3 linked regions of the Caenorhabditis elegans genome follow. The protein of the gene in region 3 purifies or fractionates together with the protein of the main gene of each other region. This does not show direct contact. Each region holds a gene or a part of one and is shown on either strand. Other genes may lie near its edges. The genes, in order: cdc-48.1, cdc-48.2 and ubxn-4.

Region 1 (6,870 bases), on a different chromosome or scaffold from region 3:
CTACTTGCCTGCCTACTAGTTCACCTATATTTTGACAGAAAGACATTTCTGTTGTTCCAGACAAGCACAAAGTCTTAGAGTAACGAGAATATGTTCCAGAAATCCTCAAATGTATTCCTCTTGTTGTTTTCTCTTGGTGCAAAACTTTGAAACGGATGCTCGTCAGTACTGACGTAAAATGGAACGAGTTGAAATTGTGACACTCCCTGTCTATCTCTTGTTTTTCTTCCGTTTTGCATTCGGTCTCAAGATTATCTCAAAATTATTAAATGCAAAAATTTAAATACAACAGAATAAATAATTTAAGTTGAAAGAGGACGGTTTTTCTGCAGGGTACATAAGAATGCTTTATTTTAACCTTCTTGTTTATTAAATTAAATTTAATTAATTAAGAAAATAGATTAAGGTTCAACATTTGCCATTGGATGACCTTCTTCTGATTCCAAGAGCACGATTAGCTTCATCAATTTGAAGCTTTTGAAGGGAACGACGCTTACGGCCTCCACCTCCACATCCACAGCATCCGCATCCGCAACCACATCCACAACAGCATGGTCTACAGCAGGTACAACATCTAGTACAGCAACAAGTTCTACAACAAGTACAACAACATTTGGGTCTACAACAGCAGCAGCATCTTGGTCTGCAGCAGCAACATCCACATCCACCACCACCTCCTCCACATCCACAACATCCACAACATCCTCCATTTCTTTTAACACGAGAAGATCCGATAATTGATGTTTCAGATGAAATTATAGATATTTCTGTTGTTGATACTGGCAAAACTCCTGATTCAACCTATAATAGTATTGTGTTTTCTAACATTTAGAACCTTTACCGATACCTGTGAAATAGCAATAAGGGCAAAGAGAGTCAGAAGTACGATCTTATTCATTTCAGATTATTAGCGTTCGATATGGTTTTCGAATTTCCATCCATTAAATACCCTCTTCTTCTTACGTGTTTGTCGTCTCTCATTTGACACTTTTGCCGGAAACCATTTTTTGTGATCTCTCCGCGCGAGCCGCGTCATGGAAATTGAACACAAAAACTAAGACACTTTGGATCATGGAAAAGTTATATAAAAGCACCATAAAATTGAGATATTCATCAGTTTCTATTCGATCAAAATGACCAAATTCATAATTGGATCTACATTAGTTGTACTGATTTATACAATTGTATCGATTTCACAGGTTAGATTAATAGATTTAGTTCTCGTATTTAAGAAACTTATAGGTTGAATCAGGAGTTTTGCCAGTATCAACAACAGAAATATCTATAATTTCATCTGAAACATCAATTATCGGATCTTCTCGTGTTAAAAGAAATGGAGGATGTTGTGGATGTTGTGGATGTGGAGGAGGTGGTGGTGGATGTGGATGTTGCTGTTGCAGACCAAGATGCTGCTGCTGTTGTAGACCCAAATGTTGTTGTACTTGTTGTAGAACTTGTTGCTGTACTAGATGTTGTACCTGCTGTAGACCATGCTGTTGTGGATGTGGTTGCGGATGCGGATGCTGTGGATGTGGAGGTGGAGGTCGTAAACGTCGTTCCCTTCAAAAACTTCAAATTGATGAAGCTAATCGTGCTCTTGGAATCAAAAGAAGACCATCCAATGGCAAATGTTAATCCATTAATCTATTTGTTTAATTTATTCTAATTCTCGATCGGGAATAAATAATTTGGAAATTATTCAACTTATTAAATTCATAGATCTGGGAAACTATCAAGAATCAAAATCTTAAGACTATTCTCCTCTCGTCTCGTTTCACATCTCTTCGTTCTCCGTCTATCGATCGGGTGATGCTGCAAATCATTTTTATCGATCTACAAAGTGCTGCATTTACTAACGGCATATCGTTTCGAGACCCAAACGCTGATGTGCGTTATTGCAAATAACAGTTATTTTTCCAAACCAGCATTACATTACAGTCCACTTTTTTTCCTTTTCATATTTTCATCCTGGACCCAGCTACATACATTACCGCAAACGTGCAAACGGTAGATTTTATTTACTAGTTCCTTTTTTCCGAAAAATTTCAAAAAATTGTAAACTGCGTTTCCGTTTTCAAAGAACTTTTTTGAAGTTTCAACGCTTTTCATCGCAAATATTTACAAATACGTCTCGTTATTTAGAAATTTTAAAATTTTTTGAACAGTGAAAATCCTTTTCAAACTTCGCGCTAAAATTATAAAGCAACCGCGCCCTAACGTCAGAATCACCAAACACTTTTTGCGTACACTTGTTGAAAACACGCTTCTATATGCGTGGATGATGACAATTTTCAAATCTGTGTCGTTTTTAGAAATAATTTCGTGAACTTTTTTAAAATCTCAATTTTCTTTTATAGTTTCGTTCCCACTATCATTTTGGACACTCATTCTTCTTATTTTAGGTCTTAAATTGTACATAATGGCCTCGGTTCCAACGCATCAAAGCGAAAAAGAGAAGAAAAATGATGAGCTGTCGACAGCTATTCTCAAGGACAAGGTAAAGCCGAATCGCTTGATCGTCGATCAGTCCGAGCAGGATGATAATTCCGTCATCGCAGTTTCCCAAGCTAAAATGGACGAACTGGGACTTTTCCGTGGAGATGCTGTCATCCTGAAGGTATGTGTTTCTTTTTAATTTTTGATTAAAACGCACAATTTAAGAACTTGTAATGTCTGTGATTTACAATATAGGCTGAAAAACGTTCTGTTTTGAAGCTAGTACTGTTTATTTGCTGATGGTTTTATGAGTGTCATAGTTGTGCGATATAGATCAAGTAACGAATCGTTTCAAAGTATTTCGTAATCCTAACACCACGCAAAGGTGCTGATCTCGATTTTTAAACGGTTGTCACACAATTAAATTTTATTTTTCGATTCTAATGATTATTTTTGCAGGGAAAGAAGCGAAAGGAATCTGTCGCCATCATTGTCTCTGATGAGTCCTGTCCAAACGAGAAAGTTCGCATGAACCGTGTTGTCCGCAACAATCTTCGTATTCGCCTCGGAGACGTCGTGAGCATTACGCCAGCTCCAAATCTCAGTTACGGAACCCGCATTCACGTGCTCCCTATTGATGACACTATCGAAGGACTCACTGGAAACTTGTTCGATGTTTTCCTCAAGCCATACTTCCTGGAGGCTTACCGCCCACTTCACAAGGGAGATATATTCACTGTTCAAGCTGCCATGAGAACTGTGGAATTCAAAGTTGTCGAAACTGAGCCAGCTCCAGCCTGCATTGTGTCACCTGATACCATGATTCACTACGAAGGAGATCCGATCAAGAGAGAAGAAGAAGAAGAGAGCATGAATGATATTGGTTATGATGACTTGGGAGGAGTTCGGAAGCAATTGGCTCAGATCAAGGAAATGGTTGAACTGCCACTTCGACATCCCCAACTTTTCAAGGCTATTGGTATCAAGCCACCACGTGGAATTCTTCTCTTCGGTCCACCTGGCACAGGAAAGACTCTTATTGCACGTGCTGTTGCTAATGAAACCGGATCTTTCTTCTTCCTTATCAACGGACCTGAAGTAATGTCAAAGATGTCTGGAGAATCCGAGTCAAATCTTCGTAAGGCTTTCGAAGAATGCGAGAAGAATCAACCAGCTATTCTGTTTATTGACGAAATTGACGCCATTGCACCAAAACGCGAGAAGACCAATGGAGAAGTTGAGCGCAGAATTGTTTCTCAATTGCTTACACTTATGGATGGAGTCAAGGTATGCTTTTAAATTTTATATGATTCGATAATAATAATTATTTTAGGGTCGTTCTAACCTTGTGGTCATTGCTGCAACAAATCGTCCAAACTCGATTGACGGTGCTCTTCGTCGCTTCGGAAGATTCGATCGTGAAATCGATATCGGAATTCCAGATGCAGTCGGCCGGCTTGAGATTCTGCGCATTCACACGAAAAACATGAAGCTCGCGGATGATGTTGATCTTGAACAAATTGCAAATGAATGTCACGGATTCGTTGGTGCCGATTTGGCATCGTTGTGCTCGGAAGCCGCTCTTCAACAGATTCGTGAAAAGATGGAGCTCATTGATCTCGAAGATGACCAAATTGATGCAGAGGTTCTTAATTCACTCGCTGTCACAATGGAAAACTTCCGTTTTGCTCAAGGAAAGTCTTCCCCATCCGCTCTCCGCGAGGCTGTTGTCGAAACTCCGAATACAACTTGGTCCGACATTGGAGGTCTTCAAAACGTCAAGCGCGAACTTCAAGAATTGGTTCAGTATCCAGTGGAACACCCAGAAAAATATCTCAAGTTTGGAATGCAGCCATCAAGAGGAGTTTTGTTCTATGGGCCACCAGGATGTGGTAAGACACTTCTTGCCAAGGCAATTGCCAACGAGTGTCAAGCCAATTTCATCTCCATCAAGGGTCCAGAATTGCTCACAATGTGGTTCGGAGAATCGGAAGCTAACGTCCGTGATGTCTTCGACAAGGCTCGTGCAGCTGCTCCTTGCGTGTTGTTCTTCGATGAGTTGGATTCGATTGCCAAGGCAAGAGGTGGAGGCGCCGGCGGTGATGGAGGAGGTGCATCGGATCGTGTAATCAATCAAGTGCTCACCGAAATGGATGGAATGAACGCGAAGAAAAATGTGTTCATCATCGGAGCTACAAACAGACCTGATATCATTGATCCAGCTGTTCTTCGTCCAGGTCGCCTTGATCAGCTTATCTACATCCCACTCCCAGACGAAGCTTCTCGGCACCAAATTTTGAAAGCTTCTCTTCGTAAAACCCCACTCTCCAAGGATCTTGACTTGACCTTCTTGGCCAAAAACACTGTTGGATTCTCTGGAGCCGATTTGACCGAAATTTGTCAGAGGTGAGTAATTTAATTATTTGAAAATTTGTTCAAAACGCACAACTTAAGAACTTGCGAAATCTACACATTCTTGGCTCTTCTTAGCTGCGTTTTGCAGTTCAGATTCTGCCAAGTTTTGTGTTCATGGTTACGCGAGTGTCATATTTGTGCTATATAAAAAATCGTCTCACAGTAAATTATAATAGTTAGAGTATCTAAAGTCGCGCTAAGGCCCCGATATTCTATTTTTCCTGGTGTGAACGATGACATTTTCAGAGCGTGTAAGCTGGCTATTCGCGAATCGATCGAAAAGGAAATTCGGATTGAGAAGGAACGTCAAGATCGCCAAGCTCGCGGTGAGGAGCTCATGGAAGACGATGCAGTTGATCCAGTACCAGAAATTACTCGTGCTCACTTCGAGGAAGCCATGAAGTTTGCCAGACGCTCTGTTACAGACAATGACATCAGAAAGTGAGTTTTGATAATGGTTTTATTGTATGTCTATAAAATATGTTTGTAGGTACGAAATGTTTGCACAAACATTGCAACAATCTCGTGGCTTTGGAAACAACTTCAAATTCCCAGGAGAACAACGCGGAAGCGATGCCCCATCTGCCCCTGTACCTGCTCAGGATGATGACGACCTTTATAACTAATGTATTGAGTTTATCTACTGAGTCTATGTATGATACTCGTTTTATTTTCTCCCATACCCACTTTTTCACCTCGTATTTCACCCCTTTCCAACCCCCGATTTACCACTATTTATTGTAATTGAGCCCATGTTTTCGCTTTAGAAATTAATGGTTACGGATGATCTTCGCGAGAAGAAAAAATTTGTAGATACCTACATCCCAGTTGATCAAAAAGTATATCCCATTTATTTTTTTGCATCCCTCCCAATGTTTTGTATGTATTGCCGTTTTTGACATATAAATGTACGATGTCTGTAATCATAATTGTGTACGATTGTGTTGCCATATTCAAACTATTATTTGTGATTGTGTAGGTGGAATTGTCTCATGACCAATGACTGGTTGTTCCGTTGATAATGGGAAGCTGTATTTAAGATAAGTTGCCTAAGTTTAACGTAATTTTTTGGACCAGGTTTTAATATCAATCATCAAACCTATTTAGCGATCCAGTTGTTCTTGATCTTTTGGAAAGTAGAAGTGCTTTTTCATTCATTGATATCATTTTCCATCGATATTGTCTCCACACTCATAGGAGTGCACGCATTTCGTACATAGTCATGAGGTTTTTAACAAAGAAAATGCCGAATTGAGTACTATAGTTGCTTATCTTCAAGCTTGTTGAACTCGTTTCTGGCCAATTTTCAAAAATTCCTTGTCCTCGTTGTCTGTCACATGAATCTTTTAGATCAGATATTAATATTGATAGTAACTGATAAGTGCCAATAGTTTTCAAATTCTTAAAAATATCTGAAAACACAAAATTTGCCGCAAATATGCACATTTTTGTAAGAAACACCGTCACGAACAAATTCACACTACAGTGCTTTTGTTTTTTTTTTCTAGAAAAATTGGTTTTTCATGCCTGAAAGTCGCATTTCTACTATTTATTTTCCATTACTTTAGTCGTATTTCTTCTCGTGAGACACAAAAAAACAGTCTTTTCACAACTGAACGGCATGCACTTTTGAATACGGTGCCTGCGAGACAGAGATCACATGCCATCCAATGTCGCCCGGGAATCTTGTGACCCATTCGCTCTCTCGAATAAATAAATCAAAAAAAGCGGCAAGAATCAGTTTCATGGATCTTTTCGATGCATACGAATGACTTCTCAGCCTTCAGACTTTCCGAAGGTCAAAAGAAAAAGAACCGGCGACAATTCGAAAAACGAATAAAAAGTGTGAACTCGTGACCATCTCTTCTGGCACCGCTGGCTGCTGCGCGCTCCCCGTTGGACGCAATTTGCAATCTCTCTGTGCATGCCTCCTCGATTTATGTGATCCCTCGTACTTACGTGTCACGCGCCACCATCCGTCACGTATATCTACACGTGCATGTTTTTTCTTGTGGAGTA
Region 2 (6,431 bases), on a different chromosome or scaffold from region 3:
GTTATTAATGGCGAAAAGAAAATTGAAATTGATCAAAAGATGCACGAAATTCGACTTGGTGTGGAATACATGTCGTTTAGTGCTCATGCTGATGCTAAAGGAATTATGCAGCTTATCCGTCAATGTGAGCCTCAACACGTCATGTTTGTGCACGGCGAAGCTTCAAAGATGGAGTTCTTGAAAGGAAAAGTGGAAAAGGAGTACAAAGTACCTGTTCACATGCCAGCAAACGGAGAGACTGTAGTGATTTCTGCTCAACCGAAGCTTGATATACGAGTTCCACTTGAGGTTTGTGTGTTTCTAAAACAAATTGAACTCAAATAAAAAATTCCAGAAAATTGACAGAAGCCTAAGCCTCGATCCGAATCCTGCCAAATCGGAATGCCCATTTGTCGCCGAGCTCGTTTACGATCAAGAAGTAAGATTATTGAACTTTATTTTGCAATAACTTCAAATAATTTTAGAATGAACGACTGAATATCATGTCTACAGCAGAATCAGAAGATTTGATAAAAGATAAAAACTGCATGCCGATCACTCTCTCATTGTCAGAAATCATCAAAGGCAAAAAAGTGAATTGGAAGGAATTATCAAACGAGCTTCTACTCTATGATCCACACTTGCAACTAAAAGACGACGGCATTGAAATGTTTGATGGAGAAATCACTATTTTAGCAAACAATTCTGATGAAACAGAGCTTGAACTGATCTGGGACGAATGCCGTGAACAGTGGTTCAAGGTTATCCATAAAGCCATCACTGATCTCATTTCACCCGAATCCTCCCCGGTCCCTCCTGCTATCTCTGTTAAAGCATAAGATTTTAACAAATACTTTTTACGGTTACGATTTTTTTACTTGTAAAAGTTGGAAATAAATTTAACATTCATGAGAACATTTGATACCCTCGCAAGGATGCATTTACAATAAATAGAATAAAACAATTTTAGCGAAATCTAGTTGTACAGGTCATCATCGTCATTTCCACCGGAGCCACCGTTTCCTCCAACAGGTTGTCCAGCAGAAGGAGCTTCTCCTGGGAACTTGAAGTTGTTTCCAAATCCACGAGATTGTTGAAGAGTCTGGGCGAACATCTCGTATTTTCTGATATCGTTATCAGTCACGGAACGTCTAGCGAACTTCATTGCCTCCTCGAAGTGTGCTCTAGTTATTTCTGGAACTGGGTCAGCCAGTTCATCCTCCATAAGTTCTTCTCCACGAGCACTTCTGTCCTGACGCTCCTTTTCCTGACGAATTTCCCGTTCAATTGATTCACGAATGGCAAGCTTGCATGCTCTGAAAATGGTATTAATTGACAAATGCGAATATTTTTTTAACTAATTTTTATAACAAACCTTTGGCAAATTTCGGTTAAGTCGGCTCCCGAAAAACCGACGGTGTTCTTGGCAAGGAAGTTCAAATCGAGATCGGCGGAAAGGGGCGTTTTGCGGAGTGAGGCCTTGAAAATTTGAAGTCTAGATGCTTCGTCAGGAAGAGGAATGTAGATCAACTGATCGAGACGTCCTGGACGAAGAACAGCTGGATCAATGATATCAGGACGATTGGTAGCTCCAATAATGAACACGTTTTTCTTGGCATTCATACCATCCATTTCAGTGAGAACCTGGTTGATAACACGATCGGCAGCACCTCCAGCATCTCCTACACTTCCTCCTCTGGCCTTTGCGATCGAATCGAGTTCGTCAAAGAAGAGAACGCATGGAGCGGCAGCACGAGCTTTATCAAACACGTCGCGAACATTAGCTTCGGATTCTCCGAACCACATAGTAAGAAGCTCGGGTCCCTTGATGGAAATGAAGTTAGCCTGGCATTCATTGGCAATCGCTTTAGCGAGAAGTGTTTTACCGCATCCTGGTGGACCGTAGAACAAAACTCCACGAGATGGTTGCATTCCGAACTTGAGATACTTTTCTGGATGCTCTACAGGGTATTGAACGAGCTCCTGAAGTTCGCGCTTGACGTTTTGAAGACCTCCGATGTCGGACCAAGTAGTATTTGGAGTTTCCACAACGGCTTCGCGAAGAGCAGATGGGGATGATTTTCCCATTGCGAACTGAAAAATGATTAATGATACGTCTCTTAAGTGCAAAAAAATGATAACTTACTCTAAAGTTCTCCATAGTGACCGCCAAAGAATTGAGAACTTCAGCATCAATTGTATCATCCTCCAAATCAATCAGCTCCATCTTTTCGCGAATTTGCTGAATAGCAGCCTCAGAGCAGAGGGAAGCCAAATCAGCTCCGACAAATCCGTGGCATTCGTTTGCAACTTGTTCCAAATCAACGTCTTCTCCTAATTTCATGTTCTTGGTATGAATTCTGAGAATTTCCAGACGGCCAACAGCATCAGGGATTCCAATGTCAATTTCACGATCAAAGCGACCGAAACGACGAAGGGCTCCATCAATAGAGTTAGGACGATTAGTAGCGGCGATCACGACAACATGAGCGCGAGTTTTAAGTCCATCCATAAGTGTGAGAAGTTGCGAGACGATACGCTTCTCGACTTCACCGTGAGCCTTTTCTCTCTTTGGAGCAATCGCATCGATCTCGTCAATGAACAAAATAGCAGGTGAGTTCTTCTCACACTCGGCAAATGCTTTACGAAGATTCGATTCCGACTCTCCAGACATTTTAGACATAATTTCCGGTCCGTTAATGAGGAAGAAGAATGCTCCTGTTTCGTTGGCGACAGCTCTTGCGATCAGTGTCTTACCGGTTCCTGGTGGACCGAACAGAAGAATTCCACGTGGTGGTTTCACTCCGATAGCCTTGAAAAGTTGGGGATGGCGAAGTGGGAGCTCAACCATTTCCTTGATCTGAGCGAGTTGTTTACGAACACCTCCGAGATCATCGTATCCAACTTCATTGAGAGCCTCCTCTTCTTCCTCTCTTTTAATTGGATCTCCTTCATAGTGAATAACAGTATCTGGAGCAACAATACACGCCGGAGCAGGATCCGTCTCGACAACTTTGAACTCGACAGTTCTCATTGCAGCTTGAACAGTGAATATGTCTCCCTTGTGCACTGGGCGGTAGGCGTCGGTAAAGTATGGCCGAAGGAAGACATCAAATAGATTTCTAAAATAAAAAATACAGTCTTTATTTCTCCGTGGCAAGAACATACCCAGTCAATCCCTCGATTGTGTCATCAATTGGAAGAACATGAACCCTTTTTCCATATTCGAGTTGAGCACTTGAGATACTGACAACGTCTCCAAGACGGCTTCTGAGGTTGTTTCGAACCACTTTGTTCATCTTGATCTTGTCATTCGGGCAATTGTCCGCATTAAGAACGATAGAGACAGTCTCTCTTCGTTTCTTTCCTTTCAAAATCACCGAATCTCCACGGAAGAGTCCCAGCTCGTCCATTTTGGCCTGTGAGAGCATGACCATGGAGTTGTCGTCATTGTCAGACTGATCGATAATGAGTCTGTTTGGGCGTTTTTTGTCCTGAAAGAGTTAATTATATTGAAATGATTACCTTGGAGAAAAACCTACTTTCAAGATAGCCGTAGCCAGCTCATCATTCTTCTTTTCCTTCTCGTCTCTCTGAGTCGGAACTGAGGCCATGGTTAAACGACTTCTCTGTAAAATCTTGGAATAATAAAAAAGAACGGAAGATGGGGGTAGAACATAGGAAAGGCCGAAACGCGAAAGTCTAATAAGAAAGTAGAACACGGACAAACTTTTCTACAGTAGGTTTTCAAGATAAAACTTCAAGTATAATTTCTGATCTAATTCAGTTAAAGAATCGAATCAAAGAAGAGATGCAAAAAGAGCCAATAGAACAAAATTAAGAAATATGGAAGATGAGACACGTAGACTAAGTTCTCTACAGAACACCCCAATGCTGCCTCTACATGATGACAAAACGCAGCCTCTCATTCACACTCTCTCCTTGGGGCGCATTTGCTTTCGAATAATTTCACAAAGCGTTCTACCGTTTTATTCGGGTCATAAGTAATAATTACATTGTTAAAAATATATGTGAACCAGCCGTCTTTAGCGGAACAGAAGTTCAAGGCGAACCTAAGTGATGTGACGATCTAGAAAGCTAGAGGTAAATATCTCGTTCAAAAACGAAGACATAATTTGAATAACAAGGAGACGAATTCAAAGAAACGTACGATATGAGTGATATTTCAGTGGTAAATTTCCGCAGTTTCCGCAGAGTCAGTGGTAAATTTCCGCAATCGCATAAATATGGAAAAGATATTATACGGCAAAGATAAATACGATAACACACTCTGGTAATTGTTTAACAACGACTGAGATAGCGAAAACCTCCCAGCAACTGTTTAAAACATAATTATTTATAATGAGCAATGCATTGCGCAATGAGAAAACAATTTCTAGAAGAAAAAACTGTTCGTTAAACGTACGCGCTGCTTTTTTTGTTCGAAGGAGCGCGTTTGGTGTTCAGAGACTTGACCGTTTTTTGGAGTTCAGCTATTTTAGGAATCCGATATCTGGAAATAACTGAGAACGCCTGACTTTTATTACAGGAAATAATGATTTTAACAAAATGGCCAACCAGGAAACCACATAATGTATAAAAATTATCAAAAAAAAGCATCAGGTTTAAGACAACTTCATTTTTTTTCAGCGAATCTGCTTCTGGAAGAAACTTCTTGCGGATTCGTGGTGTCTCCCGCTTTACAAAAATCTAAAGTTCTACAAAACGAAACATTAAAACAGTTTTTTTGAGCTTCAATCCATGTTTTTTTTTAAGTTTTCGATAGTGTTTTATTGTTTCAGTTTCCCAAATTACAAATTAAATTAAATTTTTTTGGAATATTTAATTTTCTTTAAAATTCACAGTGTATTGTTTTCCTCATGTAAACTGGATTTTTGGTCTTTTATCAATAAAAATTATCGATGATCTGAACGATTTTCTGAATATTCCGACGCATTAAATAAAAAATGTGTATATATATGTTTTCAACATGATGTTTCCCTCGTTTGTTTACAAAAATTCCAACCTTCCCCCGTTCTCTCGGTCAATCATTCGTTTTTCACTATTTTGCTGTTTCTCTTTTTCTCGCTCAATTTATGTTATTGATTCATTTCAATGCCAAAACTGATGATATAAAGCGTCGTTTTCTCTATTCACAACTCCTGTTTTATATTTTGCTTCCATTTTTTGAAGTATAATTGTTTCCAGAATGATATAATGAGTTTCCCGGTGGCATTTTTGCTCGTTCTCTTCTTGGTTCCATTCACATTTGCGACAAATAATTTAGTTGTTAGACAGAAAGAATTGGAAATTGTAATTGGAGGAGAAGTCTCTGTTAATTTCCAGATCAAGTGAGTTATTAATAATATTTTTCATCCAACAGGTTATAAAATAAAAACAATCATACGAACATGTGCTGTATTCAATCAATATAATTTTCAGAAACCACACATCACAATCATTGAACGCAACACGTATCTCCCTCTCGCAGTCACCATACATCTCCCATCCTGATGCTATTCTCGTTGACAATTGGAATGCTAATGTGACAGTTTTAGGAAGCCAATTGGTGTCCGGAGCTATTTTAGAAGCTCTCAATTGTACTACAGATGGGTCAATTACTTGTCCTCTGGAGTGAGTCGATGATTATATATTGTAAAAATTAAATCAAAACTCATTTCCAGTCTTGAAGATGCGTTTGCTAGAATCACAGTTATTCGCTCTCACTTTCTTGCCATTTTGATTCAAATTGTTGGATGGACATACTTCTTCGCATGGAGTATTTCGTTTTATCCCCAAATGTATCTGAATTTCAAAAGAAAAAGCGTCGTCGGGCTAAACTTCGATTTCTTATCTCTGAACCTTGTCGGATTTTGTGCATATGCTATTTTCAATCTGTTAATGTATTATAATAGTCATGTAAAGGTGAGAACTAGAAAATAAATAACTAAAATTAATTCATCTTCTTTCAGAATGAATACAATATTGTGAATCCTCGGTCACCGCCACCAGTACTTTTGAACGATGTTGTGTTCGCTGTTCACGCATTTCTTGCCTGCTTTATCACAATTCTTCAATGTTTATTCTATGAACGTGATAATCAGAGTGTTTCTTCAAAATGTATCGCCCTTATGATTGTGCTGATCTCTTTTGGATTCTGCTCCGCTGCCGCCACGGTTCTCAGGAAAATTCAATTGCTCTCGTTTGTGACCAGTTTGTCGTACATAAAAATGGCTGTAACCTGCTGTAAATATTTCCCACAGGTTTGTTTCATATTGTCCATTTGTAAACAGTATTCTAGCCTGAAATTATTTTTTATTATTTTTAAATTACTAGTTTTTCCAAAAAAGTTTTCAAAACTTGACCGCGAAATTTTGCGCCAAAACTACGGTATCCGGTCTCGATACGACAGATTTTGTTTAACTCAAAAAGTTGTGCGCCTTAAAAAGTAC
Region 3 (5,415 bases):
AGTTGCCTAGGCATAAATAAATTGATAACCCTCACAATCCCGTAGAGTAAAAAAACATGCTACTTCGAATATCTAATTGATTAGTGAGCTTCTAAAATTAATAAATAACTTTCGGTACAGAAAAATTCTAGCCAACTAATTGCAAAACACAATGAAAATGTTAGAAACTATGATGAAGCATGCAATATAGACTGGAATATGACATGAAAAAGAATTGAACATAATTAAACGGGGGCCAATGTCGCTTTCAACATCCGTACTTCTTCCAAAGAAGTGACACGTGATGGCTGATTGTCCTGTTTTCCCATTGACACCTTATTCAATGGAGCATTTTTCTTGGCAACAGAAGCTGAAGCATGATACCAGTGACATTTAGTCCATTCGACAAGATTCGCGACATTCGAACTGTTCACACCACAACCTGCGAGAACATCGATCTTTCCTTTGTGAAGTTCTTGCATTTCTCGAATGATATAAACTCCGTCGAGTGCTGACGGCTCTTGTCCACTTGTCAAAACAGCTTTGAATCCAACATCAATAGCGTCCTCAAGACAAGTTTTCCAGTCATAGGCGACGTCAATTGCTCGATGAAATGTGACAGGATGTGGACGGGCAGTTTCAATTATTGATTGACATGATGTACGATCCAATGAACCGGCTCTGAAAATTGAAATTTTTTGTGGATCATCCAGAGCAATCAACCGTTATAATTACAAAACTTCTTTCGTAATTTTGCCGCATGTCTATGCATTTTAAATGTTTTTTAAAAACAAGCTTTCCGCATTGTTCAAAAATTAAGTCAGCCTAAAAATAATTATTTAAATGTTATGTAAAATTTTTATTGATAAACTTGATTGAGAATTTATTTGCGGAAAATGGTGAAAAATTCGAAATGAAACAAGAATATGTTTTTCTTTTTTCATTTAAACATGTTGGAAATAAAATTATAATATATTTATTTGTTTCATTCAATTTAAAACTCTCCGACTTACGATGTTAATGCTCCAAAAACGAATCCTGTGGCACCAGCTTTTTTGAGCCATTCAACGTCTTCCATATTCGCTGCCATTTCGTCTTCATTATACACAAAATCGCCTGCCCGTTGGCGAATCATACAATAAAGTGGAATATCGGGATACTTGTAGCTCAGAATAGACACAAATCCGACGGATGGAGTGAGCCCTCCGAGTTGTAAAGCTGAGCAAACTTCCAATCGATCAGCTCCACCGGCAACAGCATTTTCCGCAGATTCCAGATTATCGATGCATATTTCCAGTTTTATTTGCTTCTGGGATTCTGTTTCTGTCATCTTAACACAATAGAGTTTGAGAAAATATGTTTTTAACATTGTAAAGAATAGGTATAAAGTTATGGTTTAAAATCCGAAAACTCAGCAAGAAAACTGAACATATCTGGGATAAATGAAAACTTTTATTCGATTCGAATTATAAACGAGCAAAAAATAAATTATCCATGGCGATGAACTTTTGGTGTTGGAATCACAGGCGACAAGAAATTTACATTATTACATGAACTGAGTAGAATTTCCATTGAAACTGGCTCGCTCTTCAGGATCGTCTTCATTCGGATTTTCAAGCCCTGCGACGTTTCCACGCTGAAAATAATTTCATTATGGAAAGAAAATAACAATGCACACAAACCCGACGAACTTCCGCACTCCTTGGCATCCCGCGTCTTTGTGGTTGTGATCCTGATTGACCCGATGTAGATGGCCCATCGTTTTTCTTAGATTTCGAGTCTTGTTGTTTTCCGGTAGAATTCCAGCCAATCATACCACAGAAAATATTCCAAAAAGCAGTGAGTGGGTATAAAACCCATGTTACAAAGGATACGGTTTGAGTACTGAGCGAGAAAGATCCATAATTTGAAGAGGAACCCGACGATTTTTGAATTACGACAAGTGCGGTAGAGGGTGTTAATTGATTCTCGAGGAATGTTTTCGAATAGTCATCATTTGTAAATATGCGGCGTGGATACGGTTGCTGAATTTCAAAAGTAGTTCCAGCAATAGAGGGCTTTTGACGAATGATCTCTACGAGAGAATTGAGAACATCATTTGAAGGAAATTCTTCTACAAAAGTAGAACCATCAGGAAGTCGAACTTGTAGACGACACCTACAATAAATTCATAAATTATCAGTTATCAATTAATTTTCTAACCTGTCTGATGGCACAGCCTTTCCAACAGTGGTTTCTTGTTTCTTTTCAGTATTCTCCGAAGCGTTTTCAGTGTTCACAAGTTTCCCGAACTTTTTCTGAGCAGCTTCGCTGAAAAATATTTATATTTTAGAAACACTAAATTAAAATCTTACCGATCAGCTTTAATTTGGGCCAAAATTCGTTTCTTATCACTTTCGGCTGCCAATTTTTCCATCTTCCTCTGTTTCGCTGCTTTGACCAACGCTTCAGCATCTCTTTCCTGTTTTGCTTCGCGTGCTTTTGTCATTTCTTCCTTTACATGTTTGTCGGCCTCTCGCTTCTTTTCAGCATCTTTTTGCTTTTTTTGCTCTAGAAGAGCTTTAGCTCTTGCTACCTTCTCTGCAAGTTCACGAGTCATTTCCTGAGAAGTTGATGAAGATTGAATTGGTGCTGTAACAGGTGTTGGGGCTGGGATTGGGGCATCCGTTGACGCTGGTACTTGGACAGGGGCGGGAGAAGGACTAGGTGTTGAAAGTTGATTTGCAGCTGCTGTTGGCATCCCATTGACGAATTGAGCAGTAGCTTTATCAAATTTGGCTCGGAACTGGTCATATGTTTTTCCAACGAGCGGAGTGATGACTTCCAAAGGTTTTCCATTTTGATCGATTAGATATGCTGCTGGCAGAATTGGTGTAGGATCTAAAAAGATAACATTTTGGCTGAACTGCTATAATTTAAACATTCCAACTTACAAATATCAGCAAACTGCTGGGCAGAAGTTTCACCAGCTTTCAGTTTTATTCCCACTACTGCGCATAAAAGATTTGACGAATCGATATGTTGCCAAAACCCATCGAAAATCTGGCCATCTTCCGAATCCGTGGTGATATATACAATGAGAAGAGCTTTGTTCTTACGGGAAATTTGAATCGCAGTCGCTACGTTGCCACCAAACCACTGCATTCTGTAAATTTTAATATAACTTATCGATTCATGTGAAAAGATACGATTTTCAGAAATCGAAGAGTAAACATTTAGTTATTGAGATAAAATAACCTAAAATTTTCTACAGAAAGCGTTCTTAATTGATTTATTCCAGCAAAATAAATAAAAAAGTGGCTAAAAAATTTATAAAAATAAAAAGACGTCGAATAATTCGTGGAGAGAAGAAACCGTGCGGGGGTTGCATTCCGACTCCGCCTCCTGCCATAAACTCCGCCCACCACCGCTCTCTGCGATTTTTACATTGAAGAAATGGATTTTTCTCTGTTTTTCTTCGCTTTTCTCATAGAAAATATTTGTTTTATATTTAATTTGCAAACAATTTATCAATTAACAATTGAATAAACATTACTAGACAGATTTTTTCTTGTGCTCCGTTCCCCACACTTTATCGATTTTCCATTAATTTGCAGGACTCGCTTCCCAAGTTTCTAGTCACTCCTAATGCGATAATTTTGGTTTTTGGAGATTAAACGTGTTCCGTAAGTTGAAATTAGTAACATTGTCTTTGAAACTTTGAATTTAAACCAATAATTGTTTACAGGTGATGGGAAATTCATCGTGTTGTCTGCGAACGAGGTCGTCGAGCGGAGAGGACAAATCGTATAATAATGATGGACAGTATATTAGAACTAATCAAGTGGAGGTATACAAAGTTATTTTTTGAAAAAGTTTGCATAAATGGAAACTTTGATATCGATTGTTGGAATAATTGTTTTTAATTTAAAAAAAAACTATAAAGCTCTGAAAATATACATTTCGAAGAGAATAATATTTTTTATTTACACAAATTTGGTTTAAAGGGCTTTAATAAGCTTCACGAGTACAAGATTATTTAAAATTATATTTTAAAGGTAAAAATATTCGAAAACCTCTTTCTACAAAAACCTAAATTTAAAATTCAGTTCCAGTATGTCAATCAAGTGTTCCCTCGTGATGAAACATCGACAAACTTCCTTCCTCACATAAGTGAACGAGAGGTAACAGAAGGTAATTATATCACTGAAGTATATATTTTTAAATTCATATTTTTTAAGGATACGAGGAAGATCCATCAACGAATCCAACAGCTCGGCCAACATTTATGGAACGAAGTAAAAGTGAAATGAAATGTAAAATTCTTTTTCTTCTAATCCTTGAATCTATTCTTATCAATTCCAGTAAAAGACAATCGTCGTTCATGTTATATGTTGGATGCATTGGCAGCTGGTGGTCATCATCCCGGAATTTTACCCAGAAGCCTGCGTAAATCAAGCAGCTGCAGTACTATTTATATTGGTAATTAAAGATTTCATAAACATTCTCTGATTTCTCAAATTTTAGATGATTCAACAGTCAGTCAACCTCATCTTAAGAATACAATAAAATGCATTTCTCTTGCAATATATTATCATATTTCAAATCGTAAAAATCGTGGACACGAGCGACTAATGGAGATTTTCGAAGAACGACTTCATCCGATTTTCGTAAGTTTTATCAATCAATCCATAAGTTCCATACATTTTTCGAAGATTTTTCAGAGAGATCCTATACCTCCAGAGCAAATGACACGGGATCCTGATCATCGGAATATTTATCGGTTTGTCAGAAATCTGTTTAGTTCTGCGCAGTTGACCGCCGAATGTGCTATTATTACTTTGGTGAGTTTTTTTTTCGGTTAAAATCTTTTTAAATGAATATCATGAGATTTGGCAAAAATGTATTTGTGTAGAAGATTCGCCTTGTTCTATTGAAAAAATATTAAAAAGACACAACGTTTTGCAATTTTTGTGCCAAAAAAGGTTCAAAAATTTTCGTTATTCGATTTTAATGAAAAATTAAAATTTTCGTTTTTCCGACATTAAAAAATCTAATTTTCGAAAAAAAATAACTTATAAATTTTTGGCCATTATTCTTCTTTTTTAAAGATTTTTTCTGAAAAAAAACAAAGTTTTTCTATGAAAAAAAATGGTAATTTCAAATTCTTTCGACTACGGAATTTTCATTGATTTTTCGTATTTTTCCGATGAAAAATATTGATTTGTTAAAAACTACATAAATTTTAACAGATCATGAGAAAATTAGAAAAAAAATTATGAAAATGTCGGGGATCCAAAGTTTGAAATTACAGTAATCTTTAAAGACGCACACCTTTCCGCATTTATCGTGTCGAGACCATGTACTGTATTTGTAGCGCAAAAAATTCACGCACTGGTAATATTTTAACTTTTCGCTATCGTAGTTGAATTACCCAATTTTGATTTTCTGCTGCCG

What was found.
Region 1: the proteins of ubxn-4 (region 3) and cdc-48.1 purify together in Caenorhabditis elegans (affinity purification with western blotting, with the first as the bait; one study listed by BioGRID). This does not show direct contact.
Region 2: the proteins of ubxn-4 (region 3) and cdc-48.2 purify together in Caenorhabditis elegans (affinity purification with western blotting, with the first as the bait; one study listed by BioGRID). This does not show direct contact.

Annotation. Positions count from the first base shown.
Region 1 is NC_003280.10:10,558,940-10,565,809, reverse strand, and holds cdc-48.1 (Transitional endoplasmic reticulum ATPase homolog 1), read left to right. Parts: upstream 1-2,402; 5' UTR 2,403-2,419; coding exon 2,420-2,617; intron 2,618-2,745; exon of another isoform or gene 2,746-2,858; intron 2,859-2,895; coding exon 2,896-3,723; intron 3,724-3,769; coding exon 3,770-4,842; intron 4,843-4,875; exon of another isoform or gene 4,876-5,093; intron 5,094-5,097; coding exon 5,098-5,292; intron 5,293-5,341; coding exon 5,342-5,477; 3' UTR 5,478-5,779; downstream 5,780-6,870. Other genes in the region: C06A1.7 (uncharacterized protein), read right to left, coding at 409-801, 848-898; C06A1.6 (uncharacterized protein), read left to right, coding at 1,134-1,199, 1,243-1,635. UniProt on the Caenorhabditis elegans protein: ATP-dependent chaperone which probably uses the energy provided by ATP hydrolysis to generate mechanical force to unfold substrate proteins, disassemble protein complexes, and disaggregate protein aggregates.
Region 2 is NC_003280.10:8,135,673-8,142,103, reverse strand, and holds cdc-48.2 (Transitional endoplasmic reticulum ATPase homolog 2), read right to left. Parts: upstream 3,609-6,431; 5' UTR 3,594-3,608; coding exon 3,522-3,593; intron 3,474-3,521; coding exon 3,148-3,473; intron 3,102-3,147; coding exon 2,126-3,101; intron 2,074-2,125; coding exon 1,355-2,073; intron 1,296-1,354; coding exon 956-1,295; 3' UTR 874-955; downstream 1-873. Other genes in the region: ints-11 (Integrator complex subunit 11), read left to right, coding at 1-288, 335-418, 465-818; ctns-1 (Cystinosin homolog), read left to right, coding at 5,197-5,330, 5,422-5,613, 5,664-5,904, 5,952-6,242. UniProt on the Caenorhabditis elegans protein: ATP-dependent chaperone which probably uses the energy provided by ATP hydrolysis to generate mechanical force to unfold substrate proteins, disassemble protein complexes, and disaggregate protein aggregates.
Region 3 is NC_003281.10:8,402,299-8,407,713, forward strand, and holds ubxn-4 (UBX domain-containing protein 4), read right to left. Parts: upstream 3,125-5,415; 5' UTR 3,124-3,124; coding exon 2,913-3,123; intron 2,860-2,912; coding exon 2,334-2,859; intron 2,290-2,333; coding exon 2,182-2,289; intron 2,137-2,181; coding exon 1,662-2,136; intron 1,616-1,661; coding exon 1,526-1,615; 3' UTR 1,420-1,525; downstream 1-1,419. Other genes in the region: cutc-1 (Copper homeostasis protein cutC homolog), read right to left, coding at 225-660, 993-1,309; cyy-1 (Cyclin-Y), read left to right, coding at 3,710-3,808, 4,068-4,152, 4,200-4,274, 4,324-4,440, 4,486-4,628, 4,683-4,802.